Cricetulus griseus: one gene and its partners. The main gene of each other region encodes a partner of the protein of the gene in region 7 in a complex. Links are inferred from orthologs where the notes say so. Each region holds a gene or a part of one and is shown on either strand. Other genes may lie near its edges.

Region 1 (3,996 bases), on a different chromosome or scaffold from region 7:
AGCCCAGGGCCCCTGAACTGACTTTGTGGATCAGAAGAGCCTGTCACTGTACTAAAGGCTCCTATGCAGCCTTCAGGAACTCATCAATTACAGCGGCTCCATGCCTCAGGACAGTCAACTGTTACCCCACAAGCTCCCAGGACCTCCGCTGTCCCAAGCGCCTCACCCTTACCTTGACATTCGGCATGTACTTTGAGAAGCGCTCGTATTCCTTGCTGATCTGAAAAGCCAACTCCCTAGTGTGACACATCACCAGCACAGACACCTTCAAGGGAACAAATGGAGACAACACCCTATCAGTCCTTTGTCACCCTCTCTCCAGAGTGACTGTCAACAGCAGCATCTGTCAAGTTATTTGTGACATCAAATCTGAGGTTTAAAACAGTAAGCCTTGCTGCTGTAAGCATTATGTAGCCACAAACAGCCTTCAGTGTATCGGCCTCAAAGCCCTCTGCAGCACTGCCTCAAACACACCTGCCCAGTGATTGGCTCCAGCTGCTGCAGTGTGGCCAGGACAAACACTGCTGTCTTCCCCATGCCTGACTTGGCCTGGCACAGGACATCCATCCCCAGAATGGCCTGTGGGATGCATTCATGCTGGACTAGAAGGAAAAAGGGGAGAAAGAGAGAGACTTTATGCACCATACCAAACCCCTTTCCTCGAGTTGATTCTCCAGATTTTGCCTGGTCCCTGTCACTTTTCAGACTGACCCATCCTCTCTGTCCCCTTAGTCACATTTACACCCAAATCAAGTCTCAACTGCATCCTAGCTTCAGGTTTCCCTGGCGCAAACCCTCTTGCACCTACCAACAGCTTACCTTCCATGTGCCTGGCATTCTATAACCTTGGACAAAATGAAGGACTTGGTACTTGCCCCAGAAGCCAGCAACTTTAGAGCAATCATTAAGACCCCAGGTGGCCTGGCCCAAAATACTGGATGTAAAACTCCAGCCAAACAGTCAGAAAGACGATCAAGCAAACAAGAAAACCTGGGCACAGGACAAACAGCATCCTGTGTGATCAAAGCTAACAAGCATCTTCTAGCGCTAACATCTGGGTACATTCTCATTGCCTGGCCTATATACCCTAAACACAAATCCCATCTTTAAGATGCATCATGAGGTCCCTATGCCCAACAATAAAATGTACCCTCTGATGGATGCTCAAAGCCACAGTCCACGATGGCCCGGAGCAACTCTGGCTTGAGCAGGAAGTCTCGAAAGCCGGAGCTGTGGATGGAGACGTAGGAGCCCTTCACGTCTTTCTTGGCAGGAGCTTCCGTCCCATCTCCACCTGCTGCTGTCTCCACCTCGTCGTCTTCATAGTCCAAGAGCTCATTGTCCACATCATTCTCTGCCATAATTGGGCCGGCAGGGGAGAAGGGAGGTCTTTGGGTGAGTGGTCCCAGAGAAGGTGAGAAAGCAAGGGGGAGAGAGGGGGCTGAGGAACAGCAAGGGAAGAGACACCAGTTTCCCGACAGAAGAGCTGGGAGAGAGAACAAAAAAAAAAAAAAAAAGAAGAGCTCATCAGTCACGTAGGGACTTCTCGCCCACCCTCACTTTCTTCGTGTTCTCCCTCAACTACAAACCTCTGCCCTGGAAGAAAAGTAAGAGAAAACGAACACCGGGCGAGAAAAAATGGAGAGTGGTCTCGGGTGTGACTGCTGGACAGACTTGGGCTCGCACTTTGACCCAAGAGGAGCAACTCCCGAGACCGTGAAAAGATGAGCCCGAAGCCACCCGCGGGAGGGTGACAATGCGTGGGACAGGAGGGGACCTCAGACTGCGCTCTCCCTGTGGCCCCACGGTGTTGGTCCCCCCAGCAGCCATCAGTCAAGGGTGATAGATGAAGGTCAGCACTGCGCGGAGCGCTCACTTCCCATTGCAAACATCACGTGGCTGCTACTTACTCCCCTGTCCAGCGGCACCTGCGTGCCGCGCTGGAGGCGCTCACCTGGGACCCCAGTCCTGGGGGAGCAGGAGCTGAAGGACGGAGGGCGGGGAGGCGGGCCCGCTGCACCTAACCGCGGGAGCAGGGGCGCCAGGGGCTCAAGGCCAAAAAGCAGGCAAACAACGCCAGAAGCCGGCAGCGCAGACAGTTACATTTTAATGCCTGCCCGGCCACGCGCGAGGCGCTCGCCACAAGGGTGGGCTTTCAAAGCCGCAGGCTCTCAGCTGGGGAAATGCAACCCTCAGGCTGGGACTTGGTGCCAAGCGGCCTTGACAGCGTCTGGCGCGCCCCAGCCTCGCTCCTCCCCGAAGGTGAGCATTCCGGGAGCGCCGACGCCGCAGCGGGCAAGCAGAGGCCCTGGCGGCTGCTCGTCCCCGCCGCGGGCCGCGCCGGGCCCGCCCTCCCGCCAGCGCCGCCTCCGGCCGCTGCGGCCCGCGCGGGAAGGGGACCCACGGGCCACCCAGGAAGCGGGGGACACAATGGCGGCCCGGGCCTCCATTTTGGATCGTCGCCCCCGTCTCCCCGCTCCCCACCGAGGTTCGCTCAGAAAGGGACGAAAACGACGGCACCGCGCGCCCGACCGAGCCGCAGCGGCCAGGCCGCCGCCCGGGCGACGGGTATCAGGGGCGCGCGCGCGGGCGCGGCGGGGCCGGAGCGGATGGCGGCGGATGGCGCGCAAGGCCCCAGCTTACCTAAGCACTGCGAGCGCGTATGGCGGCGGCGGCGGGGACGCAGGCGGGAACCTGCCTTCACTTCCGGTCCCGGGCGCTTTTCCCCCCCGGCCTGCCGCCTTCCCGGCCGCCAGGGCGCAGGCGCGCGATGCCGGAAACCGGAAGTCGGCAGCCGGAAGCCGGCGGTCCTGGAGGCTCCGGCCGCGCCCGCTCGGGGGTGCCTTCGGAAAAGGTCTTCCGACTCCGCCGCCGCCGCCGCCGGTGACCGGAGCGCGACGCGGGCTCGCACCTCCCCGCCCCCTCACCGCGGCGTCCTTCGTCCTTTCCCCGCAGGCTGCCCTCGGGCACCGCGGAGTCTGCGTGCCGAGCGGGACGCGTCCTCACGGCGCCCTTAGCCTGGCACCCAAGGTGACCTGAGGGTGCCGAGCTCAGTCAGGCTCCCGGGGCCGGGGGAGGTGGGGGGGCGGGCACGCCCTTCGCGGCTGCGCTGGGAACGAGCGGAGCTGCCCCAAATGGCGGCGGCAAGGCGGCCACTTAGGAGATGGAGGTTTGCATTCTGCCCGCGCGTTAACAAAATAAACGGTGCGTTTGAGGGCTTCGCAGCTTTCCATAGTTGTTGTCGTTATCATCGGTTTTCTCGAGACAGGGTTTCTCCGTGCGGCTTTGGAGCCTGTCCTGGCGCTCGCTCTGGAGACCAGGCTGGCCTCGAACTCACAGAGATCCGCCTGCCTCTGCCTCCCTAGTGCGGGGATTAACGCGTGCGCCACCAACGCGCGGCTCCATGGTTATTAATTAGGGCAGAGTGCTCTTAGTCCCACCACAGCGGCTCCATTGTTCAGCCTGGGCCTTCTTCCCCCTCTAAACACGTGGTTCTCCCTTCTTTGAGATGCTGCATACACGAGGAGCGATGTCCTGCCGACTATAAGCGCGAGCTTCCCCTGTTAGCACACTTTACTCAGCTGTTAAGTTGGCACCCTCGTCCGCAACCCTCAGCATCTGACAGCCGCCCCCCTCCCACCGCCTAGGAGTAGGTGGGGATTCCTCGGCCCCTGGTAAAGTAGGAAATGCTTTAGCTCCAGGGGCCTATGGCTTTGAAGTTCCCAGGAACTCTTGTAGTAAGCCAGACGGCAGGCTCTAGGCCACCTCTTTCTTCCTGTTGTTCCTAAAAGGCCAGGAAACACCCCTCGGGAGAGGCCTTTTATTGAACCTAACGTAGTAGCACTGAGGAGAGTAACATAGTGAGGTTTATCCCCGTTGAGCCCCCCAACTGAGTCAAACTTCTACTTTACAGCCTGCAAAGGATGTTTGCACCAACACAGCAAAGTCGTGCAAATCAAGGCTTGTGTTTGCACCAGTCAGGACATTGCCCCTTTA
Region 2 (3,500 bases), on a different chromosome or scaffold from region 7:
GTTTGCCTTTTGCTTTGCTGTCCCCTCCACCCTAGATTTCTGGGGTAACTTTTAAGACTCACCATCTTTTATCTAAAGAGTTTCATGTGACAGTATTTTTAGGTAGGTGTTTTGGAGTTGTGATTTAAAGGCAGGGGCTCTCGTCAGAATGTGTAAGTTCCCATCCTTGTGCCTTTTCTCATTTGCTAAATAATAGCCACTCATTTCACAGAGTTATTCTGAAGATTAAATGGTTCGTTTTGATCCATATACAGCATGTTGCTGACACATGATATAAATGACTAGTTTTGACCCCATGATACGTTTTTACATGCTCCAACCTCTTAACCAGTGTGTTCTATTCTCCATGCACCAGAGAGTGATCTTTTGAATATATACAGGGAAGAAAAATGTATCAGAGATTAAGGGTGCTGGCTGTTCTTTCCAGAGTCTGAAATGACATCTTCTGGCCGCCTTTGGCATACACAGATAATCATGCAGGCAAAACACCCATATACATAATAAAAGTCTAAAGTATACAAGAAATTATGTTGGGCATGGTTATACACACCTTTCATCCCAGCACTCAGACACAGAGGCACGTGGATTCTGAGTTTGAGGCCACAAGTCTACATGGTAAGACCTTGCCTAATAATAAATACATACATACAGACAGACAGACACAAAGGGCAGGCAAGGTAGTAGCACACACACAGAAAGAGTGGACATGGGAGCACATACTTATAATCCCAGCACTCTGGAGGCTAAAGCAGGAGGATTAAGTTTGAGGTTAGTGTGGCTTATAGAGTAAGATCCTATTAGTAAAATACGCACAAGTCTCATCTCGTGCTTAAAATGAAGAGTGTATATCAGAGTTAATAAGAGGCCACCAAATAAACCAGATTGCAGATCTGTGCTAAATACAAAGAACATAACAAAGCCCAAGATAGAATCCGTTTATTGGGGGCGGGAGTCCTTAGGATTTCTCATAGGTTCTTTTTCCTCACCTTCTGATTCTTTTCTTGACATCAGTGTGTCACTACTGTGGGTACTGGATATTTGCTCTTTTGACATTTTGAGCCATTTTTAATCATTGACATTGAAATTAAGTGAACTAAAGATTAGCTGTTACATAAACACAACTCTAAATACAGGTCCCTTATTGAAAATACTTGCGGCTGTGTTTTCAGATTTTCCCCCCCATATTTGGAACATTTTAGACCCTAGCAGGTAAGCATTTTAAGAAAAGTTAAACACTTAAGGTTTTAGGTTAGAGATCTCCAACTTGTATTAGTTACATTAACATGATAAACTCGAATTTATGAAATACTCTAAACTCACATATCTGTAGGTAGCAATGCAGATACAGATACCAACCAACTCACCAAATATCATTTTTCCTATCTTTCCTTTTCTTCTGTATAACTGGATGAATAGTTTCTATGTAGCCAGGGGTTGAGACATAGACCACTGACTTGCTAAAATAAGCAAAATATATAAACTTTCAAACTAAAGGATGGTACAAAATGTCATGTGACATGGAAACAACTATGGAAGTGGATAATTATAAATCCAAGGCTAACAACTCCTCTTACAGAGCTGTGAACAATTCAAATTATGGGTGGAGAGCTCTCAGGCTCTTAGCACGAAGAAGCCCTCACTTCTTCCAGCCAACCAACCAGCAATTTAAGAGTCTGCCAGAGTACCTGGAGAACATGGTAATAAAGCTAGCCAAGGAACTACCAGTAAGTGACATACTTCATTTTTCCCATTTCCTTTAGTAGACATTATCTGCTTTAAAACTGCTATCAGTATTTGAGCAGAACTCAAATTTTAGTGTATCACACAACAGTAGTAGTGGGGGCGGGGGAGGACACACACAACTTGAGGCAGAGGTTGTTGTTGAACATTCACTTAGGGAGAAAATGTGAACCAAGAGTGGTATAATTTTCTGTGCAACACCCAATTTATCAACATGTTGGAAAAAGCTACTGCCTGCAGTAAATTGGATCAGTTTTTGCTCTTACCAAATGTATTTTACTATATTTTGTCAAGAGCAGGGTCTAGGAGTAGCAGTAGGGTACCTGGCAGTGTTTTCTTATAGTACGGTAACCATAGACATGGTTAATCTCTATTGCCCCTTAGACAATACTGACTAAAGCCTAGGTGTTTACCAACCTGCTTGTTCATGCTTCTCTGTCTTCCTTCTGCCCAAAATGACAGGACCTACAGGTTGAGAGGGTCTGAGGTCCATTAATTACCTATCTAAACTATTTCCTGTTATCTTCAGAAACTAGTGTTTTTTTAAACACCATTGTTTCTCATTTACTATAGCCTCCTTCTGAAGAAATAAAAACAGGTGAAGATGAAGATGAGGAAGATAATGATGCTTTACTGAAGGAAAATGAAAGTAAGAATTGAATTTTTGAATTGAAATTGAATTTTTTGGCTATTTCACAAAACTGAAAAAGATTAGGGTTCTTTGTTGAGAGGTACATTGTATAATTTGGTCTACTTCTCAACTTCTACCATTTTATCTCAGTTTACAGTGAGATTAAAGCCATTAGTCACTTAAAATACATTTTATATAGGGAAATTTGGAAATAATTTTAAAGATAAAAAAGATGGGTGTTTTAAGGCAGAGCCTTGAACTCTGCTAATTTAATTGGGGCTAGAAGGAACATCTCTATGGGAAAATCTTCCTAATTAATATAGCTTTGAGCTGGGCGTTGGTGGTGCACGCCTTTAATCCCAGTACTCGGAAGGCAGAGGCAGGCGGATCTCTGTGAGTTCCAGGCCAGCCTGGTCTTCAGAGCGAGTGCCAGGATAGGCTCCAAAGCTACACAGAGAAAAACCCTGTCTCGAAAAACCAAAAAATAAAAAATAATTGCCTGAATTGTGATTTTTTTTTTTCCTAAGAAGGTATGTAACCTATGTAGAATTAAGTTTTAAAGTAAAGCTTAATGTGACTAGTAACCCAGTTTTTTGTTGTTGTTCTTTAAGCTTTGCAGGTCTTTCAGATAATTTATATCCTCTTGTCTTCTAGGCCCTGATGTTCGGCGAGATAAACCTGTAACAGGGGAACAGATAGAGTTATTTGCCAACAAACTTGGTGAGCAATGGAAGATTTTGGCTCCGTACTTAGAAATTAAAGACTCTGAAATTAGGCAGATTGAGTGTGACAGTGAAGACGTGAAGATGAGGGCCAAGCAGCTCCTTGTTGCCTGGCAAGATCAAGAAGGAGCTCATGCAACAACAGATAACCTGATCAGCGCACTAAACAAGTCTGGATTAAGTGACCTTGCTGAAAGCCTAACTAATGACTCCGAGACAAATAGTTAGCTTGCTTTCTTTTCTTTCTTTTTTATTAAACTGTGATAAGATTTTGTTACCAAGCGGCATTTGATAAGAGGTCCAGTGGTTTTGGTAAACAATAAACAGTTTTATAACAGCTGTTGCACAGTTGGTTAGTGCTTCAAGAACTACAAAACAGGCACTGTCTAAACCTTAGTTTGGAGTAT
Region 3 (4,035 bases), on a different chromosome or scaffold from region 7:
GTAGGTTTTATTATCCCTCATTTTGCAGATGGAAGTATAGTGACCAAGTTTAGCCAGGGAACTTATCTGAGGTCACATGGTCAGTATGGAGCATATTGAGGGTTCAAACCAACACAGAGATTTCAAAAAGTTGCTAGTTATTAATTCAGCAATCCAAATAAATAAATAAATAAATAAATAAATAAATAAATAAAAAACATGCAAACCAAAGATGTGAGAAATAATCTAGCCGTGTAGAAATAGTGCTTAGCTGGGTGTGATGGAGCACACCTTCAAACCCAGCTTGGGAGTTTCAGGATGGCCAAGGCTATACAGAGAAACCCTGTTTTGAGAAACAAAAACAAAAAACCAAATAGAAAACAAAGAAAAAGAAGTATTTGTTTCTCCACTCTTTACTTTTCATTACTATTACCAGAGAGCGCAGAAACAATGTAAAGGGCTCACTGGTAGTGAAGGACAGGGTCCTACCTCTTTTCTGATCATGACATCATTTTTGTAATTGCTGTTGTTGGCATATCGAAGTTTTCCTGTGGGGCAAATAAATAAATAAATAAATAAATAAATAAATAAATAAATGCAATTTACAACAAAACATCAACTCAGTAGCCTACTAACAATACCAACTTTGCCTAAATTATATCCAATTCTCTCTCTTGGCTGTCCTGGAACTCGATCTGTAGACCAGAATGGTCTCAAACTTACAGAGATCCACCTGCCTCTGCCTCCTGAGTATTGGGACTAAAAGTGTGGGCAACCACCGCTGTAGCCGGCATTATATTCAATGTTCAACCCAATTCACAGCTATTATATTAGTCTTTACAGTGCTCCACTTTAAATTATGAAACAGCTGAAGACTAACCTGACACTGAAATAGAGTTCAGGCAAAAGTTACTTTGATTTGGCAAAAGAACACAGGCAGGCTCTTTTACGACTCTGGCAAATAGCTTTTCAGCAGGTCAATGATCTCAGCTGTAAACAGAAATGATAATTGCTAAGTTCCCTGCACAGAGAACATGCTGAAAGTATTTTGAAAACGGTAGGAAGCGACATACACATGCCCATGTGGTCTTGTGGTATGATCTATTTCTGCATACTTTTAAATTGAGCACATTTGGTTCATAAGTCCTTCTGTGCATGAGTACAACCACCAGGCTAGTTTGGGTATATAGTGTCATGTGGCAGAAAAAAACAGGGAACTTTGGGGAGAAGCATCTAATTTAGTCTGACTGTCTGAGCAGGTTTCATGCATAAAGTGACTTAGGTGGGTGGAATATAGGAAGAATGTGAAGTGTAGGTGTGGGCTAAGGGACCAAGAATAGAGAAGATGGTGTTTTGGACCAAATTCACATCAAAGACACTGGAAACTAAAAAGTGCTTGGGATGTTGCAGGCAGAAACAAAGTAGTGTGGGCAGAGTATTGTAGGGTTGAAAAGGCAGACAGGAACTCAGCTTGGCTGTATGCCATGGTAAGGGGTTTGAATTTTGTCAGGAAGGCAGAGGGAAGTTATTGACAGTATCAGAGAACTACAGTCATCTAATTACACAGGCCTCTTGCTACATGTTCTTGTCCATCTTATAGAGAACTAACTGAAAAAGGGAAAGATTTGAGTAGAATTGTCCTTGCCTCCTCACCACACCACAACCGTCCCAAAATATTATCAATCAGATACATTCAGATCGTCTCCAACAGTATCCTAAGTCTTCTCCACGTCTATAGTCCTAGCTGTCCTAGTCCCGACCGCCATCTCATGTCTATTCTGTGTCCAAGCGCTAGGATGCTTTCTGAAGATCATCACACCTTTTCTCTTATAAGCTTCAAGCTGTTTCCTGCTGCTCCTATTTATGGTCTACAAACACCTAACATCATCTCCTACTGGTTTCCCTAGAATTCTGTCCTTCAGTCACCTCAACGGCCATCTGAAACATGCCTGGTTCTTTGCTGTCCTATGACCTCTACATTTGCCACTCCGATAGAAGACTTTTCTTCCTGAGCTTCACAAACTGACTGGTCCCTTCTCGATTCCGGCTCAATTCAAATACCCACTGTTCAGAGTGCTCTCGAAAAAGAGACCCTATTTTCGGATCACTCCTCACTACAGGAGATCACTGTTTATGGTTTCTCCCAGTACCTAAACACATGTTCCACGAGAGGGGAAATTTATCTTCGTGGCTCTGTCCCCAGAGTGGAACACGGCCCGGTGTAAGATGGACATTCAATCAATCTTTGTTGAAACGTTAACAACCTGGCTTTTTAAAGCCACTAAGAAGCCGGGCGTTGGTGGTGCATGCCTTTAATCCCAGCACTCGGGAGGCAGAGGCAGGCGGATCTCTGTGAGTTCGAGGCCAGCCTGGTCTCCAGAGCGAGTAGGCTGCCAGGACAGGCTCCAAAGCTACACAGAGAAACCCTGTCTCGAAAAACCAAAAGAACCCAAAAGTTACTAAGGAGAAGCTCCAGCGTATGGACAGAAAGGACCAGTGAGGCCGAAAGAAAAGACTACGCCTTTCACAACCCAAGAGCTCCGGTCTCAGTCCCTTCCTTCACAAAAGCCGCGGCCCGGCCTCTCCGCCCTCCCCCAGGTCCCGTTTCCCTTCCTTGTAGGCGGGAGGCCGCTCTTACCGTCAGGTCGGAATTCAAACTCCAGGAACTCATGACCGAACTTGCCTTTGTGACCCACGTAGTAACGTAGGTAAAAGTCACTCTCCATGGCTCACACGGGACAATCAAGACCGAACTTTACGAACAGATCACACTACCACGATCTGCGCCCTCTACTGACGTAACGGCGGCGCGCGGAAGTGACGCCACAACCGCGCCGTTAATAACAGTTTTTTCACCCTTGGGAGGCGGGAACGAGACTACCCCGCCCCCGCGTCCTGCGGCGAGATCCGGATCACCGCTCCTCCTTTCCGGAAATCGAGTGCTTTGCGAGGTCCTGCGCTTCCGTTACGTCCTGGGCTTCCACGGGGCAGCTTTACCTATAGGCTTAGGGCCAACCCTGCGATCTGTAGTCCAGTCAGGCTCAACCGCAATGTAAAGACACACGAAAGAGGCCATTCACACTCTGAACCCAGGTGGTCTCCACAGTAAAATGGGCAAAAAATGGCTCCCCCATCTTTGAGCACGCTGCCCCCTTCCCCACCCCCAGGGTCTGAATCAGGAGTTGCGTTTGAGGGGCAGTGTAGTAGCGAATAGCTGTGGCCTAGCACTCAAAAGCTTAACGCCGCCCAGGAGTCACGAGTTGAGGCTAGAGGCTGCATACTGTAAGACCCTGTCTCGAAAAAGTTCGCTTTACTTTTTTTTTTTTTTTTTTTTGAGACAGGGTTTCTCTGTGGCTTTGGAGGCTGTCCTGGAACTAGCTCTTGTAGACCAGGCTGGTCTCGAACTCACAGAGATCCGCCTGCCTCTGCCTCCTGAGTGCTGGGATTAAAGGCGTGCGCCACCACCAACGCCCGGCTCGCTTTACTTTTGTGTGTTTGTTTTGGGTTTTCCAGACAGAGTTACTCTGTTTAACAGCTCTGGCTGTCTCTTTTAAGAAAACTTTTCCCCGAGCAGTGTTAGTGCACACCTTTAATCCTTAAGGCAGGTGGATGTCTGTGAGTTAGAAGCCAGCATGGTCTACAGAGCGAGTTCCAGGACAGACCCCAAAGCTACAGAGAAGCCTTGTCTCGAAAAACAAACAACACCCCCCGCCCCCCCCCCCCGTTTTCAATGACTCCTTCCCCAATCCACAACGTTGCCTGGAACTTGTCTGCACTGCCAACATCCCCTTCTGCCGTTTGCTTATTTTACAATTTATAGGCAAGGTGCAGACTGACGGGGCACTTGTGACCCTCCTACCTCAACTTCCAAGAGTGTCACCTCTTAGGCACAAGTTGCCTCTCATCTCTCCTGTCTCCCAGGCTCACTGCTGTCTAGGATAGGTGCTGTGGGAGGATGTTAAAGTGGACATTGGATTCCCACTCCCAGATACCTTACCCACAGTGATTCTAAGCCACACACACACACACACACACACACACACACACACACACACA
Region 4 (3,934 bases), on a different chromosome or scaffold from region 7:
AATATGCAATCATATGAAATATTTGAAAAAGAAATGTAAGGAGGGAAAATTAGCAAATAGATTTGTACCCAAAAGACTTCATTGATTTCACTGACACTTTTTTGTATAAAATCTTCACAGTTTCCAAAAATGCCTGCTTGCCTCTGCGTCCCCAGTGCTGGGGTTACAAGCCTTCGACACCACAGCTGGCTTCATACAGACATTTTCACACAAGTATACATTATATGTTGAACATATTCCTTCAGGGCCCCCTATCCCGAGCTCAGAGCTCTTGTACAGCGCCTTAGCTCATCCTGGAGCTCACCATTGATGTTTTTCCAGCTGAATATCTTTTGTCTAAGAGAGATGTAAGAAGTGGGAGGCGCTGAGATGTGAATGTAGCATACACAAGTGGTCACTTTACTTTTCACTCTTCTTAAAAATTTACTATCTTCAAAGCCACAGAGAAACCCTGCCTCCAAAAACCAAAAAAAAAAAAGAAAAGAAAAAGAAAAAAATTGCTATCATACATATGCAATATATTCTAAAAACTAGGATCAAAAGACAAAACAAAACCCCCAAACCAACCAAGCAACCTTGCCCAACCCAAACCAACAAATCCACACTCTCATTAACCAACTCCTTATTTCCACAAACAGCTAACCTTTCTCCTTTGCTGTGGCCTTCTGCTTTAAGGGAGGGAAGAGGGCCTTGTAGTGAAAAAACAGCTCTATTGAAAAGGGTATTTTTGTCCTGGCAGTGGTGGTGCACGCCTTTAATGTCCCCACTGGGGAAGCAGGAGCAGGAGAATCCGAGTTCGAGGCCAGCCTGGTCTACAGAGTGAGTTCCCGGGCAGCCAGGACTACACAGAGAAACCCTGTCTCGAGGGGAAAAAAAAAGATATTCTACTGGTAAGTAAACTGGAGGCTTTATCTTGGTTCTCTTCTTCGAATAAGCGAGACTATCAAGAAACGGGTTAGAAGACCATTAAAAAAGTCGAACTCTTCCAAAATGCTACTTCCAAACGTTAGAGGCGGACACGCGTTGCATGGCGGGATTTGCAGTCCCTTGGGGGGAGGGGCGCCAGTGAGACACGCGCGCCTGCGCAGAGTGACGCGGCGGCGTTCCTGGTGCATGCGCGCTGCTCCCGGCGCATGCGCGCCGCAGCGGCGCCGGGCCCGGTGTCTGTAGCCGCCGGTACGCGGTCCTTACTGAGAGAGAGAGCGAGGGAGCGAGACGGAGGCATGGCGGCGCCCACGTCGATCCTGGGGCCCCCGCCGGTCAGCCAGAGCGGCCCCGGCTCGATGGCGCCCTGGTGCTCTATGAGCAGCGGCCCGTCTCGCTACGTGCTCGGGATGCAGGAGCTGTTCCGAGGCCACAGCAAGACGCGCGAGTTCCCGGCGCACAGTGCCAAGGTGCACTCGGTGGCCTGGAGCTGCGACGGCCGTCGCTTGGCCTCGGGGTCCTTCGACAAGACGGCCAGCGTGTTCCTGCTGGAGAAGGACCGGCTGGTGAGCTTGTAGGGCCCGGCCCGGCCGGGAAGAGGCGGACGTGGTGTGGGCACCGTCGTTGGTGGTGCGGTGAGCGGGCGAGGCCGCCCGGAGGAGCGCGGAGCGGGAACCTGGTGGCAGTTAGGCGGTGGCGAAGGGGCTGCGGGACGGAGAGGTGCAGTCAGGTGGCCTGCAGTGGTCAGGGTCTAGAGCAGCCCTGGGCGGGGAGTGCTGGCATCCCCACGGGGTCGAGAGGTTTTATTTGGAAACGATAGCGCCTCCTTTGGGAATGGACCGTTGGATTGGGATGATGATGGTGGTGGAAGAGGGGAGGGCAGGAAGGGCAAGAGAAGAGCCAGTGTCCAAGCTCAGAACAATTCACAGGGGCTGAAGTTCTGGAAAGGACTGGATTCTTTTGGATCGTCCACATCTTTGCCGGTTTCAGGGTACCACCGTTTGGATAAAAGTTAAGTTGCGTGTGGAGGCAGGTGCATCTGTGTGAAGTGACACCTGGATTCTGCTCTTTTAAGGTCAAAGAAAACAACTACCGGGGCCACGGAGATAGTGTGGATCAGCTCTGCTGGCACCCAAGCAACCCTGACCTCTTTGTCACCGCATCTGGAGATAAAACCATTCGCATCTGGGACGTGAGGACTACAAAGTGCATCGCCACTGTGAATACTAAAGGTAACTTCAGAGAGAGAGGAGCCTTAGGTAGAAAAGCTAATTATAGTTTCCAGAAACTGTTGACCGTGTTCTTTGCAGCTAGTGCCACAGAGTGGGTTATCAGGATGATGTATACATGTCCGTCTGGAGGAGACAAGGAAGAGTAGAATTTGAGCACGTTTTTTGATCATCTGTAGTAGTTACTGGTCAGAGCGGTGGAAACAATACAAAGAGGAGTAGTGTGTGTGAAGGCATAGAGGATTTAGGAGATTCTGGCAGGTTAGAATGGCTGAAACCTGGATGATCTTGGTTTCCAAGAAATGATTGGAAAGTTGTACATCACATTCAAACGCTGTTTTCTTGTTATATAATACCCTGTAAATCTTGAGTCTAGCATAATTGACTCTAAGAGGTCATCTACAATCTTTTAAGAAACATTTTTGTTGTTTTTAGATTTTTAATTTTTTTCAAATAATTTATTTACTTTTATTTGCATTGGTATTTTGCCAGCATATATGTCTGTGTGAGAGTGTCAGATCTTGGAGTTACAGACAGTATGAGCTGCCATGTGGGTGCTGGGAATTGAACCCAAGTCTTCTGGAAGATCAGTCAGTGCTCTTAACCGATGAGCCATCTCCCCAGCCCCAGATTTTTTTCTTTTTCTTTTTTTTTTTAATTCTTTTTATTTTTTATTTTAGATTTTTTTTTTTATTTTCAAGTATGTGTGCCTCATGTATGCAGGTGCCAGAAGAAAGCATCTTATCCCCTATAAATGTAGTTACAAATGGTTGTGAACTGTGGGTGCTGGTGATTTAACTTGGGTCTCCTGGAAAACAACAAGTGCTCTTAAGTGCCGAACCATCTCTTCAGCCCCACAACAAAAATGTTTTTGTTTATTTATTTATTTTTAAACAAAGCATTTTTGCTTTGTTTTTTTTTGAGACAGGGTTTCTCTGTGTAGACCTGGGTGTTCTAGAGCTCTCTCTGTAGACCAGGCTATCCACTCAGAGATCCAACTCTCTCTGCCTTTGCCTCCTGAGTGCTGGAGTGAAAGGTGTGTGCCACCACCACCCTGCTCCGAAACAAATTCTGATAGATTTTTAAATGCACTATAGATAGTAAAGTGTGAAAGAAAAATGGCATTTTTGATTCCATGAAGTTGTGTGCAGTGTGGACGACTCCTGGACTTAGATGACAAGACTGGTTTCTGGGAGTGGTGTGACGTGGTACTTTTGGACAAATGTTAGCTGCCAGCAGCAGCTTTCTTCCATTGTCTTGGTGATTTGAGCACTGAAGAGAGCTCTGATCTTCTTTCTAGGGTAGCAGAATAAGCTTCTGGAGGAGGATGGGCAAGGATGATCTTGCTGATGGCTTGTGTCTGGGTTCCCAGGGGAGAACATTAATATCTGCTGGAGTCCCGATGGGCAGACCATTGCTGTGGGCAACAAGGATGATGTTGTCACCTTTATCGATGCCAAGACACACCGTTCCAAAGCGGAAGAGCAGTTCAAGTTTGAGGTCAATGAAATCTCCTGGAATAACGACAATAACATGTTCTTCCTGACCAATGGCAACGGTTGTATCAACATTCTCAGGTGAGGGGCTTCTGGCTAGAGGGACTGTTGTACCTCTGTACTGGGTGCTATGTCAGGTACATAGATGAGTTAAGTGTGAGCCTAACCTAGAAGACTTGAAAGAAAAAGTATTTAAAAATCCTAGTTTTTTTTAGGGGCACATTTGAGCCAGATATTCTGCATTTTATTGAGTTCTTACTGATATTGATTGTAAATGTTCACTTA
Region 5 (4,084 bases), on a different chromosome or scaffold from region 7:
AGTGCTTGCATAGCATACAAAAGGGTCTTAGTTTAATCCAACTAACACAGAGGCATGTATGCTCCCCTTCCAGCACCCTCTCCCTCTAATTTCCTTCTGTACCTAGCTAGCATCTCACATTTGTTGATTACTTAGTTCTTACTTCAGTTCAATTTCCTTCCCTCATAACAAGACAGGGAAGGGTACTCTGTATTTAGAAAGATTCACTGAACATTAGCATGTGTGTGATTCAGTACAATGTCCTTTACTTCCAAAACAGCACTCCAGGGTAGATTTTATTAGTAGCTTAATTAACAGAGAGCAAAACTGAGCCTCAAAGAAGCTAGGTAACCTCCACAAGGTCAGAAGCTGGTAGTTGTCAACTGGGGATTCCTATGGCTTCTAAGGATTAGGGGGCTGCAGTTGGTAAGTTTGTAACTCACCATTCCTTCCCTTCTCTCACCTGAAAAATTCATCACTCCTCTGGAGCAAGGCACAGATCCACACAAATAAGAAACATAAGATCATCTTTTGACATCCCAGCACATCTGACCAGTTCACTTACTGAATCCCCTTAGTTGGAGTGCTGGCCCAATTACCTTTCACTAGCACTACTGCAGCAGGAGTTGAGCTCAGTGCATATTAGCCAGTCAGAGAGATGCCTCAGCAGTTAACAGCACTGGCTGTTCTTACAGAGGTATGGGTTCAATTCCCAGCACTCTTCTGGACTCCACAGGCACCAGACACATGTGGTACACAAGCACACGTGCAGACAAAACACACACACAGGATGTGGCTTGGTTTTTAAGCCCAGGTTCTGGAACTTACTACCACTACAACTCTGGACAAGTTTCTTAGGTTATCAGTTTTATGTATAAAATGGGGATAATTAGAACATTGCACCACACATGCTACAAGTACTATGTTATTGAAGGGGAAAGTGATTTCAGCACCTCCCTTCCAATTTCCTTAATATTCTCCACACAGTAGAATGGGTATGTGCACTTTAAATCACGTAGATCAGGATGAGGATGTAACACTTTTCTTATGAATAGGAGCATGGGTTCTGTCCTCAGCATTGAAAAAAAAAAAAAAAAAACACTTCAAGTAATTAAATATAAGCAGATCTGATCACTAATGTTGCACTAAACATTGCACTAATGTTTAAAACTTGTCTTGATATGACATGGAGTACCTTTGGTCCCAGCACTTAGGAGGCAGAATCAGAAGCTGGTGGGGATCTCTGTGAGTTCCAGGACAGCCTGATCTACATAGTAAGTTACAGGGCAGCCTAGGATACATTTAGGAAGACCTCATTTCAAAAGAATCCAAATCCCAAACTAAACCAAATTAAAAATCAAACAAACAAAATTTCCAGTGGCTTCCCCTGACCTTAAAAATTCATGGTGCTTAACTTTTTCTAAGTTCTAGCTAATTACTACATGACATATTTAATTTCTTTCAGCATTTTGGGACTTGTATAAATGACTGGTCATTTGTAATTCCAGTCCTAATATATCCATTCATCCTTCAAAGGAATGGGGGTGAGAAGGAAGTCTTTTCAAGTTTTCTAATCACCAGTAGAGACAGATCAACAACAACCTCAGTTCAATCCCCAGGACCCACAAGGAAAGAAGTGACTTCAGCAAATTGTCCCCTAACTGCCACATGGGAAGGGTGGCCTGCCTGGGGAACAGGTGAGGCAGGGAGGGCAGCAGGCAGACACACACACACAGACACAGACACAGACACACACACACACACACACACACAGACACACACACACACACACACACACACACACACACACACACACACACCATACCTTCACCCCTACCCTACCCCAATTATTTAACGTTTACAGTCAATCCAAACTGCAAACATACAAGAGCAAACTTCTTTGCCTGTTCTGGGTTGCAAAATATAAGTAAAGCATTGCCTGGAAGTACGGAAAATACCTACTGAATAAACGAAACTGGAATAAAATAAGATTAAAATTCCTCTATTTATCCCTACCTAGACTTTTCCTCCAACAGTCCTCAAATTTGGGTCTTGAGTTGTTCTTCCCATTCTCTGGATGTCAGTCCACTGGTACCCATAGCTACTGGTCACCCTCTCAAGAATAGCTCCAAGCCACAGAAACCTTTCTACCAAAAGCAGGTACCGATGTTAAGTTCTTGTTCCAGCTTCCCGCCGCATCTGTCCATACCTCCCTGAAATGCCCCCTTATTTCTGCTCTCAGTCCACAGACCACAGCTGTCCACAATCCATCACCCTCAATTCATCCAGGCCTACAAACCACCCTCCCCAACATGCCCTCCTTCAGTGGTCGCGGTCTAAGCCGCCGGCTTCATCCCACGGGGCGCTTTACCTTGTAAGTCGCCCAGATACACTTCCCGACCGGCCTTCCGGACACCCCTATTCCTTTTGGAGGCTGTCCCCAGCTCGGTGCCCGCAATCCACCTCACTTCGAACTCCAGGGCCCCCGGGGGCCCGCCGCACGGCCTGTGGGCCCGACCCAGCCCGGCCTGGGAAGCCCCCCAGGCGGCCCCCTCGGCGCACTGCATCACTCGGGCTCCCCGGGCTCGGCGCCCGGCCCTCCGTCGCTCCCGGCCGCCCCGGGAGCCCCCACCCCGGACGGCCCGGATCTCGGCGCTGCCCCGCGTCCCCGCACCCCGCGGCGGCCTCACCGTCAGTCACGGCTCCCATGGCGTGCGCGCGCGGCGGCGGCGGCGGCGGCGGCGGCGGCGGCGGCGGCGCGCGAGCTGAGGCGGCGGTTGGCGACGGAGGTCAAACTCCCACAATGCAGCCGGGTAAACAGTCATGGAGGAGGAGGCGGCGGCGCCCGCGGCCGCCTCTCCGACTCCTGAGTTGCGCCGCGCCGCCGCCGCCGCCGCCGCGCGACCCGCGCAGCCCGCGCTCGCTGCTCTCCCGGGGCGCGGAGCGGCCGGCGGGTGAAGGGCGAGGCGGGCGGCCGGCGGCGGCTCGGCCCGCGCACCCCGTCGTCCCCGCCCGGCCCGCGCCACAGGCCGCCCTGGAGGCCGCGGCCAGCCGCCAGGTGAGCTCCGGGCTGCGCGCGCTCGGGGGGCTCCGCGCCTGCCGCTCCGGGTGACCGCCGCCCCCCGGCCGCCGGGTTCCACTAGCTCGTTGGCATGGGGCCGCGGCGACTGTCGCCAAGTTGGCGCCCACGCGCGCCCCGGCGGGTCTCGAACCCGGGTCCTTGAGGCGGACGCGGAAAGCCATCCTCCCTTCCTGAGCTCTGGCAGGTGCTGGCAAAGTGGGGGATAGAAACTTGGCGACCTTTGGGAGTACTTTGCTCAGAACCAGGAGCTTAGTCCCTGCCGTCCTTGCCCCTCACCCAGTTCTCCCTCGGTGCCAGAATCCAGATGGGGTGCCTTCGTTTTCGTATTATCTCTGCTTTTCAAAAAAAAAAAAAAAAAAAAATGCTTCTTAAAGGGAAGTTGAAAGTAGAAGGTGTTGGGGGAGGTGGCGCTGCTCATTGAAAAACGTTGCTTGGGGTGTAGAGTACATATTGCTGGAGCACTCTGCAGATTATATTGTCATCTTTCCAGAAAAATCACTATGATGAGTGTCTCCTGAATGGAACCATGTAAGTGGTGAGAGACAACCCCTGGTAAGGTTGATTTGACATCCAGCAGGACAGCTTTACACCCAGAAGCGTGCTCGACTTTGGAACCCAGGTTTTTGTTGTTTTCCAGTTTTCGTGATTCCCAAGTCCCTTGCATCCTCAGATCCTGCATAAAGCAATTGTGTGGGGGGTCAGTTTGGTGGTTCAGACTACTTTTCTGAAGTGGGGTCTATGCATCTGCCCAGAATTCCCTCAGTTCTTTAGCAGAAAACTTGGAACCATTCAATGTATGTTAGTGAAGTGGTTTTTGCTGCTTGGCAGGATTATATGTCAAGTACATTACGGACTTTTGTCACAGAGACAGAAATTAATCTTGAATGAAGATTTTCAGGCATAACTGACCTCTTCTAAATACTGAAGCTGCAGTCCCTGACTCTTTGAAAGAGTATTGGCTAAAGGCTTTCATAACTTGGACTTTGAACCTGTTCATTTCCTTGAAGTAAGAGGAAGGATAAT
Region 6 (4,276 bases), about 90 Mb from region 7:
GTAATTGTTGCCAGCTGCCAGAAACTTCCCGCAGGGCGAGACACTCTGGGAAAAGATGGTCATGTGCAGGCGCTGCAGGGCCTGCGCTACCTCAGCCTGTGGGAAGAGGGTGGATGAGGAGATTCTGGGAGGTCTGGGTCCTCCTCCTGCAGACTCCTGTTTGTCTACCCTGCCCAGACTTCAGCCCTGCTCAGCCACAGCCACAGGCATCTCCCCATACAAGAGTGGCTCCAGGAAGAGAGTGAGAAAAGGAGAACAGGGGCACAGTACCTAACACTTAGAACAAGCACCAAGCCTCTCCTGTCAGCTTAGTAGACAGATGGCACTCCCAGGAAACGCTGGTCATAATTAGGTAACTAATGAACAGTAAGAGCTTTGTAGCCAGGTTTAGTAGGTGCACAACTGTAATTCCAGCACTTAACAGTTGGAAGCAGGAAGATCAGAGGAAATTCAAGATTATCCTCAGCTACATAGTGAATTCAAGGGTAGCCTGGGCTACACGAGACAGTCTCAAATACGCACACATACACACATCTGAGGATGTAACTGAACTGATAGTGTTTGATTAGCATGCACCAGTCCCCAGCACTGCACACTGCATTAAACAAGCACACACTTGTGGCCTGTGATTTCAGCACTCAGGAGTTGCAGGCAGGAGGACATTCCCCCACTCCAAGGCAAACTCCAGACCAGCTTGAAATATGTTGACTCTGTCTCAAAAAACTAAGTGAATAAAAATAATAAATCTATTTTTAAAATAGGGGGGTGTGCCTGGAAAGATGGCTCAGCAGGTAAGTGTGCACTACTCTTGCAGAGAATCCTACAGACCCACATGCCAGATCACAACCATCTGTAACTCCAGTTCCAGGAGAGCTGACGTCACTTCCCCCAGTCCCTCCAGACAGGTTCTCACAAGAAGCCCTCTTTGTACCAGAACTCTCTATGTAGATCAGGCTGGCATCATAGAGATCTGCCTACCTCTGCCTTGCAAGTGCTGACGTTAAAGGCACTGAGTCATTAGGTCTTGTTTTGTTTTTTTCAATTTGTGTGTGTGTGTGCTGTGTATACCAGTGCCCATGAAGACTAAAAGAGCTTGTTGGGTCTCCTGAAACTGGATTACAGGCATCTGTAAACCCACTCCTATATGGATGCTGGAAACTGAACTTGGTACCTCCAGAAGAGTAGCAAGCACTTTTAACCACTGGGTCATCTCTCCAGCCCCCTGTGATGCCTCTTCTGGCCTCCGAGGATATGATAAACATACATAGCACACATACAACTGCTAGGAAAACATTTATAGACATAAAACAATGAATAAATCTTACAAGAAAATAAATGAGCCTATCGTGGAGGCACACCTTTAATCCCAACACTTGAGGAAGAGGCAGGCAGATCTCTATGAGGTCCAGGCCAGCCTGCTGTACTTCCTGAAAACTTGTTTAAAAAAAAAAAAAAGGTAACTACTCAATGGGTAGACCATGTTCTTTTGTTTGTTTGTTTTTTGTTTTTGTGGGGGGACAAGGTTTCTCTGTGTAATCCCTGGCTATCCACAAACTATCTCCGTAGACCAAGCTGGCCTCAAACTCATAGAGATCCACCTGCCTCTGCCTTCCGAGTGCTGGGATTAAAGGCATGTTCCACCACCAACAAGCCTATGCTCTCTTTTTTTTTTTTTTTTTTTTTTTAAAGATTCTATTTTTAGCCGGCCAGCGGTGTCGCAAGCCTTTGGTCCCAGCACTCGGGAGGCAGAGGCAAGGCAGATCTCTGTGAGTTCAAGACCAGCCTGGTCTATAAGAGCTAGTTCCAGGACAACCTCCAAAGCCACAGAGAAACCCTGTCTGGAAAAAAAAAATAAAGATTCTATTTTTATTGCTTTTAATTATGTGTATATGTGTGTGAGGGGAGTGTGTGCAAGTGAGTGCAGGTGTCCACACAGGCAAAAGGATGCAGATCCCCTGGAGCTGGAGTTACAGGCAATTACAAGATTTGAAATTTGAGTGCTGGGAACCAAACTTGGGTCCTCTTCCATCTTTCCAACCGCTAAAACCTATTCTAACCCAAAGTTCTGTGTTTGCGCACCAGCACTGTATATATTGGGCATTATGGCACACCCAATAGCCCATAACATTCAGAGGGAGGCAGAAGTTCAAGGTCATTCTCCATTATATAACAAAGTTCAAAGAAAGCTGGAGATATATGACACTGTCTCACAAACAACAAGCAGTTCTTGGGCTGGGGTATAATTAAATGACAGAGCATGTTCTTACTGCGTCTAAGGCCCAGGGTTTTAAAAAAGGCTCATGTACAATGATTAAACTTTTTTTTTTTTAAGTTGGGGTCTCACTATGTATCCCTGGATGACCTGGAATTCACTATGCAGCAGGCTAGTTTCTAACTCACAGAGATATGTCTGCCTCTGCCTTCCCAGTGCTGGCATTACAGGTGTGTGGAACTACGTCCAACGGCTAGTTTTTTTTAAAGTGGCTTTATTATCCTTCACAGTAAAATGTACTGACATTTAGTCCCTATGTCACTATTAGATCCCAAGGACCGGGGATCACTATTCTGGGGGGGTCAGAGTCAGAGTCCGAGTATTTCTTGGCCACCAGGTCATGGCAAGACTACAAACCCCAGAAGGCACTGTGCGCACACTCGACTCACCTGACCCAGAGGCACCGGCGACGGTGCGACGTGATCCATCTTCAGAACTACAAGTCCCAGAGGGCTCTAGGCGCGACACAACCTCTCGACTCCCTACGTGCGTGAGAGTGGTTCTTCTCGTTGCGCCCCAGGACCTGGCACTGTCGGCCGTTCAACAACTAAGGCGGCAGGTCGGTGCTGTCTCGAACCACTGAAACCTAGGGGAACTCTGCGAAGCACCCTTACGCTAAGTAGCGTCCAGGACTGCCCAGCTACACCGAATCCCCTCCCCCACCCCGCCGACCTGTCCCGCCTTCTAACCTCGCGGTGCTCGCCTTCCGCGCCTGCGTCGAACGTCTCCAGTGAGCACGCCGGTAGCCCCGCCCCTCGCGTTGTACCACGCCCTCAAAGGCTCCGCCTCTGCCGCCTGGATCCCACCCCTCTATCTGCAGGACCCCGGACCGTAATGATCCTACAACAGCCCCTGGAGCGAGGCCCTCCAAATCGTGATCCACGGGCCACCACTGGGGTGACTCGCGGCCTGGACGCTAGGTGCGTAAGCGGCCCCTGCGTGGGCCGGACTAACGGAGGGCAAGAGCTTTGGCTGGGGGCCCAGGGCCGGTCAGTAGGGTGATCCTGGGAAGAGAGGCAAGGTGGTACAGGAAACCGTGGTGTTTGAGCTTGTGTTGGAACTGGGAAGCCACGGTCAGGATTTCCGAGGTAGCCTGGTGGATGATGGCCTGAGAGAGTAAAGTGGCTTAGGCCACACAGACAAGACTGATTCTGGAATCCTGGCTTATTCTGCAAGCTCAGGTAAAGAGAGAGGGTGGGCTACACCTGGCTCTATTTCCCAGCTCCCCTCTCCTAGGAGCTGTGCCCATGAGCACGGAAACCCCTGGAGGAGCATTAAGTTTGGGGGCAGATGGGTCTCCTTAGATGTCACCTTTGGTCCTCATCAGTTTGCCTCCACCCTCTGTTCCTCTCTGGTCTTTCCCCCAGGGAACCCTTGCACAAGCAGTTTCTGTCTGAGGAGAACATGGCCACCCACTTCTCCCGACTCAGCCTACATAATGACCACCCCTACTGCAGTCCCCCTGTGACTTTTCCCCAAGCCCTGCCACCACTCAGGTAGGCACCTCCCCTCGCAGGGCCTTCTAGAGAATCACATTCGGTCCTCAGAGCCCCTCCTCATGATCTGCCTCATCATGCTATTTTTAGCTTCTAGCCAACTTCTGTGCTGTTTTCCATCTTTGGCTCCAGGGGATCTGGACCTGGTAGGAGGTGGCTCTGCCAGGCCAGCCTCTGCCCCATACTTTCACTGTCTCTCTTCTTCTTTCAGGAGCCCTTGCCCAGAGCTGCTTCTCTGGCGCTATCCCGGGAGCCTGATCCCTGAGGCCCTCAGACTGCTGAGGCTGGGGGATACTCCCAGTCCCTACTACCCTGCATCCCCAGCTGGGGATATCATGGAGCTCTAAGTGCTGATGGCCAGTGTCCCTCCTCACCTTGTTCCTGACAACAAAGACCAGCAACCCCCAGAAAAGGATGAGGTCCTTCCCCTGTAACAGGACAGATGATAATCAAGCTCAGTGATACCCTGAATGGGAGGGGCAGCAGCTTGGAAAGGGGAAAGTATCAC
Region 7 (4,231 bases):
CGAGTTGAATGTTCATGGGACGGCCTATGGTAAAGAATACAACAAGTCTCACTCCAGAGGCTCTGAAGCTGACCCAGAAGGCACCACACCCTGGTCTCCATGCAAGCTCTAGAAAGGGCCTTTGTGTGTCTCCAATGCCCCCAACAAGGTACAAGGCCTAGAGAGCCTGGTGGGAAAATAAAGTGGCAATAACACCCCACCAACACCTCCTCACTCCTTCTCAGTTCAGGCTAAGAGGGCTGTTTGGTCAGGTGTCCAGGGTGCTCATGGGTGGACAGGTGTGGGTAGCCTGACGGAAGAAGAACAGGTACCTTTGTCTTTACGACTACAGCCCCGCACTCAGGTTGTACTATGGCGGTTCTGAGAAGGCTTCACAGAAGTGAATCTTCCGGAAGGAGCTGAAGGAGGGGAGGGATGTAGCTTGCTGGATGGGGGTTCACAAGAGGTTGGTCCAGATGTGTGGGGCAGCATGAGAGGTGGCAGAATGGAAGAGAGAGACAAAGGGGCAAATGCAAAGTGTCCTCAGCCACAGGGGCAGCCCATATTCCTACAGGGAGAGGTGCCAGCCCCAAACTCCGTAAGCCCCAGGCATCCTGGGCCCAGCCCCATATACTCACCATCTAAAGGGACACCATTGTACTGTTTCATAGCCTTCAGGGCATCTGCCTTCCGTTCAAAGTGCACATCTGCTGTCCCTAAACTTCGGCCAGAGCGATCGTAGTGCACGGCTGCTTTCTTCAACGTTCCAAACTCTGCGAAGAGTTCCTGGAAGTGGACAGGGCAACTGTTAGCCAAGCAGTTAAGCTGTTTTCCCTCTAGAGGCTCAGTTCAGTAGCTGTGAGGGTTCCTGGGTGCTACTTTACTGACCACCACCCAGAAAAGGGGCGGGGCAGAGGCAATCAAGAGGTGAGGGAAGGGTGTCACTTTGAGCACCTGGGTTCCTGTCCACGTTGGGACGTGTGTGACTGTACCATGATGCAGGTGAAGGAAGCACACAGAAACTACCTCTCTCTCAGCAAGGGCACTCACAACCTGACTAATGGCTGTTTCATCAGATAGCAAAGGCCAAGAGAAAAACCAAGGGAAGCTGTTCATAGAGCAGACAGCTCAAAGGGCCCACTGATTTGGGGAGCTGTGACCCAAGCCCCTCCCCCAAAGGCAGATTCTGGCTCACCTTTCCCTCTCCTCCTACTCAAGCCTGCTGCAAAGTCTGAAGTCAAATGCGCCATGGAGACTGCCCTGACCTCAGGCAGGCTGGGAGTTGGAGAGGGAACCCAGAGTGTGGGGCTACTTCGGCCGCAGGCACACAGCGGGAAGTGAAGTTCACCAAAAGCGGTTTCCAGTGGATGCCAGAAACCACCTTAAAAAAAGTGTGGAGACACTGTGAGTGCTCACTGGCCTTGCTCTATGCTCCCTGACAAGGCCAAATGGCGGGGCTCTGAGAAAGGGAACCCAGAAAGGCCCAGCACCCATGACCCAAAACTAACTCCTAAAAACCTGCTCTGTTAACTCTAATTGCATTTGAGGGCCAGAAGAAAGACAGAGAGAGGGAGAGAGGATAGAGATGGGGGGGGGGGGAGAGAGAGACAGACAGACAGACAGACAGACAGACAGAAAAAAAGACTTCAACCAAAGGTATGAGAACAATGCCCCTGGTAAGACCCAGGAAAGGTCAGTCTGGAAGACACACAGCCACCATTCACCCCTGTGCCTTCAGACATGTGGGGGTGGGGAGAGTTTTCCTTCTCATAAGCTTACTACTACAGGCACAAAGCCTGAGAAGCTAGCACCCTCGGTCACACAGGGACCGGACTTGTGGCCAGTCTGTGCCCGTTAGAAACTGTAAGCCTTGCAGACGGCAGGTGCTCGTGACGTTAGCAGACAAGAGCCACTCTGGGGGCACACCAGGCTGCCTTCCAAGCAGCCTGACCTATCAGTCACATTCAAACCCCAGGGGATACTACTTTTTGTGAGGGCAGCGGCTGGCCCTTGGGCAGCCTGGGGGAGCACAGGCTCTGATCAGAAGGGATTCTGTGTGTGGGGATAAGCATGCGGACGGCTCTGGTCTCTTACCTGAATATCTGCGTCTGACACTCCAAAGTCAAGGTTTGACACCAACAGTTTTCCGCCGGTCTCCACGCCGGCTCCACCCCCGAAGCCGCTGTCGAACAGATCGTGCTGCCATTTGTCTGGAAGTTGTTTCGGCTGAAGGGAAAGAGAGGTTCGTGAGCGACCTCGTCTCGGGCGCCCCGATCCCTCCCCGGCACTCACACTCTCTCTCTCACGGCGGCCCGAGAGCCCGGAGGAGACGACCCCCACGCCCGCCGCTCCGCCGCCACGAGGCGGGACCGGACCGGACAAAGCGTCCCGGAAGATCCCGGCCTGTGACCGGGGCCTCGCTCACCGCGCGGCGTCGCCCCCGCCCACCCTCCGTTCCGTTCCGTTCCCGCGGTTCCCGCAGGACGCCCGCCCGCCCGCCTCAGGGCGCCGGGAGCCCGCCCCGCCGGCGCCGCGCCTCCCGTGCTCACCCTGCTGTAAGGAGCCGGCCGGTTCCTGCCGCCGGCGGCGGCGCCGCGAGAGATGGCGGGCCGGTTCCTCAGAGGCCCGCCGCCTCGGTTCACCCGCGCGGCCGCCTGCACCGCCCCGCCGCGGCCGCCCTGGGCGCCGGCCCTGCCACGGCCCCTGCCTCCGCCGCGGCCGCCTCGCTGGCTCCGGTTCAGCTTGATAATATCGTCCAAAGACATGTCCATTTTGTCGGCCATGGCGGGCGCGGAATCGGGCCTCAGATCGAGCCCGCGCGTCAGCACGTCGCTAGGTCACTTCCGGAGCTTCCCCTGGTCTTCCGGCGTCGCGGCCCCCGAAGCTGCCCCTGATTGGCCTCGGCGCGCGCGGAGAGCGGAGGGCGCCTGCGCTGCGCTCAGGAGGACGGCCCGCGCGAGTGTGTGGCGCCCGGCGCGGCGCGGTCGTTTTTATACCTCCCGCGCTCCTGCAACGGAAGGGCGGGGCGCCGCGAGATTAGGTGGAGTGGGCGAGGCGTGGGCGGGGCCTGGCCTGGGATCCGCCCTGCGCAGGCCGGAAGGCGCCGGATCGAGTTCGGTCCGTCCGCCCGCCGAGTCCCTGAGCTGCGAGGCGGGGGGCCGATCTGTGGATCCGATTTGGGGTTTGTGGGCTCGAAGGGATGGTTTTTTAAAATTTAATTTTATTTAAATTTAGCAAGCTGATGGCTTGTCACGCGCGGGTTGTGAGTGAAAACCGAGGTGTTTTTCATGGATGCAGTGGTTTTTGTTTTTGTTTTCCTCCTTTGGTTTTGGGCGGATCTGCCTCCGCGGCGCTGAGGTTAAAGGCGTGAGCCAGCCTGGCCCGCTACCTGGGTGCACAGCTCTAAAAACGACCTTCAACATAGCAAAACAACTTGGGAGCCTGGCTCCCTGGAGGCGCCTAGCACGCAGCTCCCCGCCTTAAATGCTCAAGTGCCGTCTGTGGTAGTAATACAGAGTAACTTTAGCCAGGAAACCCTCTTCCCTCAGGTCGCACGCTCTGCTGCCATGAAGGTGAAGATTAAGTGCTGGAATGGTGTGGCCACGTGGCTCTGGGTAGCCAACGATGAGAACTGTGGCATCTGCAGGATGGCGTTTAATGGCTGCTGTCCAGACTGTAAGTGCCCCCCCTCCCCCGTGCTCTCAGAACTTCGGCCAGCTCCACCAGCCTTGAAAACCTTGGGTTTCCCAGCACTAGGGAGGCAGAGGCAGGAGGATCTCCGAGATTCCAGGACAGCTAGGGCTACGCTGAGAAACCCTGTCTCGAAAAACTAAGAAAACCAGAAAATAAAACCGTGGGTTTTACTTTCCATTTCCTGAAGGAAAGTTGACAGAAAATAAACGAATTCTTCAAACTCACTTTTGTATAAAGACCCTATCCAGCATGGTGGCAAACATCTGTAATACCAGCATTTGGGAGCAGAAACAGGTAGCCTCTGAGTTGGAGGCTACATAATGAGAGTCTGTCTGTAAAAACAAAGAAAAGCAAATAAACAAAAACAACACTTTTGTTTTTGCCAAGGCATGGTGGCACAGACAGAGGCAAGAGGAGGCTTGAGTTTGAAGCTTGCCTGGGATACATTGTGATGATTGGTCATTCTCTTAATTCCTCAAAATGCTACTTCCAGTTTGAATTTTCTCCAAGCAAAGCAGAACAAATGAGGATACCCCTGCCCAGCACACTGAAGTTCAGA

What was found.
Region 1: Alyref (region 7) and Ddx39b share a complex: the UniProt entries of both Homo sapiens proteins name them as parts of the transcription/export (TREX) complex. The link is inferred for Cricetulus griseus from reciprocal best matches to the Homo sapiens genes ALYREF and DDX39B.
Region 2: Alyref (region 7) and Thoc1 share a complex: the UniProt entries of both Homo sapiens proteins name them as parts of the transcription/export (TREX) complex. The link is inferred for Cricetulus griseus from reciprocal best matches to the Homo sapiens genes ALYREF and THOC1.
Region 3: Alyref (region 7) and Magoh share a complex: the UniProt entries of both Homo sapiens proteins name them as parts of the ALYREF/THOC4-EJC-RNA complex. The link is inferred for Cricetulus griseus from reciprocal best matches to the Homo sapiens genes ALYREF and MAGOH.
Region 4: Alyref (region 7) and Thoc3 share a complex: the UniProt entries of both Homo sapiens proteins name them as parts of the transcription/export (TREX) complex. The link is inferred for Cricetulus griseus from reciprocal best matches to the Homo sapiens genes ALYREF and THOC3.
Region 5: Alyref (region 7) and Thoc7 share a complex: the UniProt entries of both Homo sapiens proteins name them as parts of the transcription/export (TREX) complex. The link is inferred for Cricetulus griseus from reciprocal best matches to the Homo sapiens genes ALYREF and THOC7.
Region 6: Alyref (region 7) and Thoc6 share a complex: the UniProt entries of both Homo sapiens proteins name them as parts of the transcription/export (TREX) complex. The link is inferred for Cricetulus griseus from reciprocal best matches to the Homo sapiens genes ALYREF and THOC6.

The regions. Positions count from the first base shown.
Region 1 is NW_023276806.1:231,768,469-231,772,464, reverse strand, and holds the start of Ddx39b (spliceosome RNA helicase DDX39B), read right to left. Parts: upstream 2,801-3,996; 5' UTR 2,644-2,800; intron 1,978-2,643; exon of another isoform or gene 1,955-1,977; intron 1,901-1,954; exon of another isoform or gene 1,825-1,900; intron 1,487-1,824; 5' UTR 1,362-1,486; coding exon 1,151-1,361; intron 603-1,150; coding exon 475-602; intron 266-474; coding exon 173-265; intron 1-172. UniProt on the Homo sapiens protein: Involved in nuclear export of spliced and unspliced mRNA. Component of the TREX complex which is thought to couple mRNA transcription, processing and nuclear export, and specifically associates with spliced mRNA and not with unspliced pre-mRNA.
Region 2 is NC_048595.1:236,160,915-236,164,414, reverse strand, and holds the end of Thoc1 (THO complex subunit 1), read left to right. Parts: intron 1-1,576; coding exon 1,577-1,724; intron 1,725-2,313; coding exon 2,314-2,389; intron 2,390-3,025; coding exon 3,026-3,321; 3' UTR 3,322-3,432; downstream 3,433-3,500. UniProt on the Homo sapiens protein: Component of the THO subcomplex of the TREX complex which is thought to couple mRNA transcription, processing and nuclear export, and which specifically associates with spliced mRNA and not with unspliced pre-mRNA.
Region 3 is NC_048595.1:41,959,463-41,963,497, forward strand, and holds the start of Magoh (protein mago nashi homolog), read right to left. Parts: upstream 2,801-4,035; 5' UTR 2,706-2,800; coding exon 2,618-2,705; intron 528-2,617; coding exon 469-527; intron 1-468. UniProt on the Homo sapiens protein: Required for pre-mRNA splicing as component of the spliceosome. Plays a redundant role with MAGOHB as core component of the exon junction complex (EJC) and in the nonsense-mediated decay (NMD) pathway.
Region 4 is NC_048596.1:273,511,545-273,515,478, reverse strand, and holds the start of Thoc3 (THO complex subunit 3), read left to right. Parts: upstream 1-1,134; 5' UTR 1,135-1,223; coding exon 1,224-1,490; intron 1,491-1,999; coding exon 2,000-2,156; intron 2,157-3,525; coding exon 3,526-3,730; intron 3,731-3,934. UniProt on the Homo sapiens protein: Component of the THO subcomplex of the TREX complex which is thought to couple mRNA transcription, processing and nuclear export, and which specifically associates with spliced mRNA and not with unspliced pre-mRNA.
Region 5 is NW_023276807.1:171,880,540-171,884,623, forward strand, and holds the start of Thoc7 (THO complex subunit 7 homolog), read right to left. Parts: upstream 2,801-4,084; 5' UTR 2,689-2,800; coding exon 2,670-2,688; intron 2,520-2,669; exon of another isoform or gene 2,351-2,519; intron 1-2,350. UniProt on the Homo sapiens protein: Component of the THO subcomplex of the TREX complex which is thought to couple mRNA transcription, processing and nuclear export, and which specifically associates with spliced mRNA and not with unspliced pre-mRNA.
Region 6 is NC_048600.1:43,199,643-43,203,918, forward strand, and holds the start of Thoc6 (THO complex subunit 6 homolog), read right to left. Parts: upstream 2,801-4,276; 5' UTR 2,701-2,800; coding exon 2,662-2,700; intron 97-2,661; coding exon 1-96. Other genes in the region: Hcfc1r1 (host cell factor C1 regulator 1), read left to right, coding at 3,107-3,192, 3,640-3,768, 3,980-4,115. UniProt on the Homo sapiens protein: Component of the THO subcomplex of the TREX complex which is thought to couple mRNA transcription, processing and nuclear export, and which specifically associates with spliced mRNA and not with unspliced pre-mRNA.
Region 7 is NC_048600.1:133,091,013-133,095,243, forward strand, and holds the start of Alyref (THO complex subunit 4), read right to left. Parts: upstream 2,801-4,231; 5' UTR 2,763-2,800; coding exon 2,529-2,762; intron 2,206-2,528; coding exon 2,074-2,205; intron 766-2,073; coding exon 618-765; intron 25-617; coding exon 1-24. Other genes in the region: Anapc11 (anaphase-promoting complex subunit 11), read left to right, coding at 3,546-3,654. UniProt on the Homo sapiens protein: Functions as an mRNA export adapter; component of the transcription/export (TREX) complex which is thought to couple mRNA transcription, processing and nuclear export, and specifically associates with spliced mRNA and not with unspliced pre-mRNA.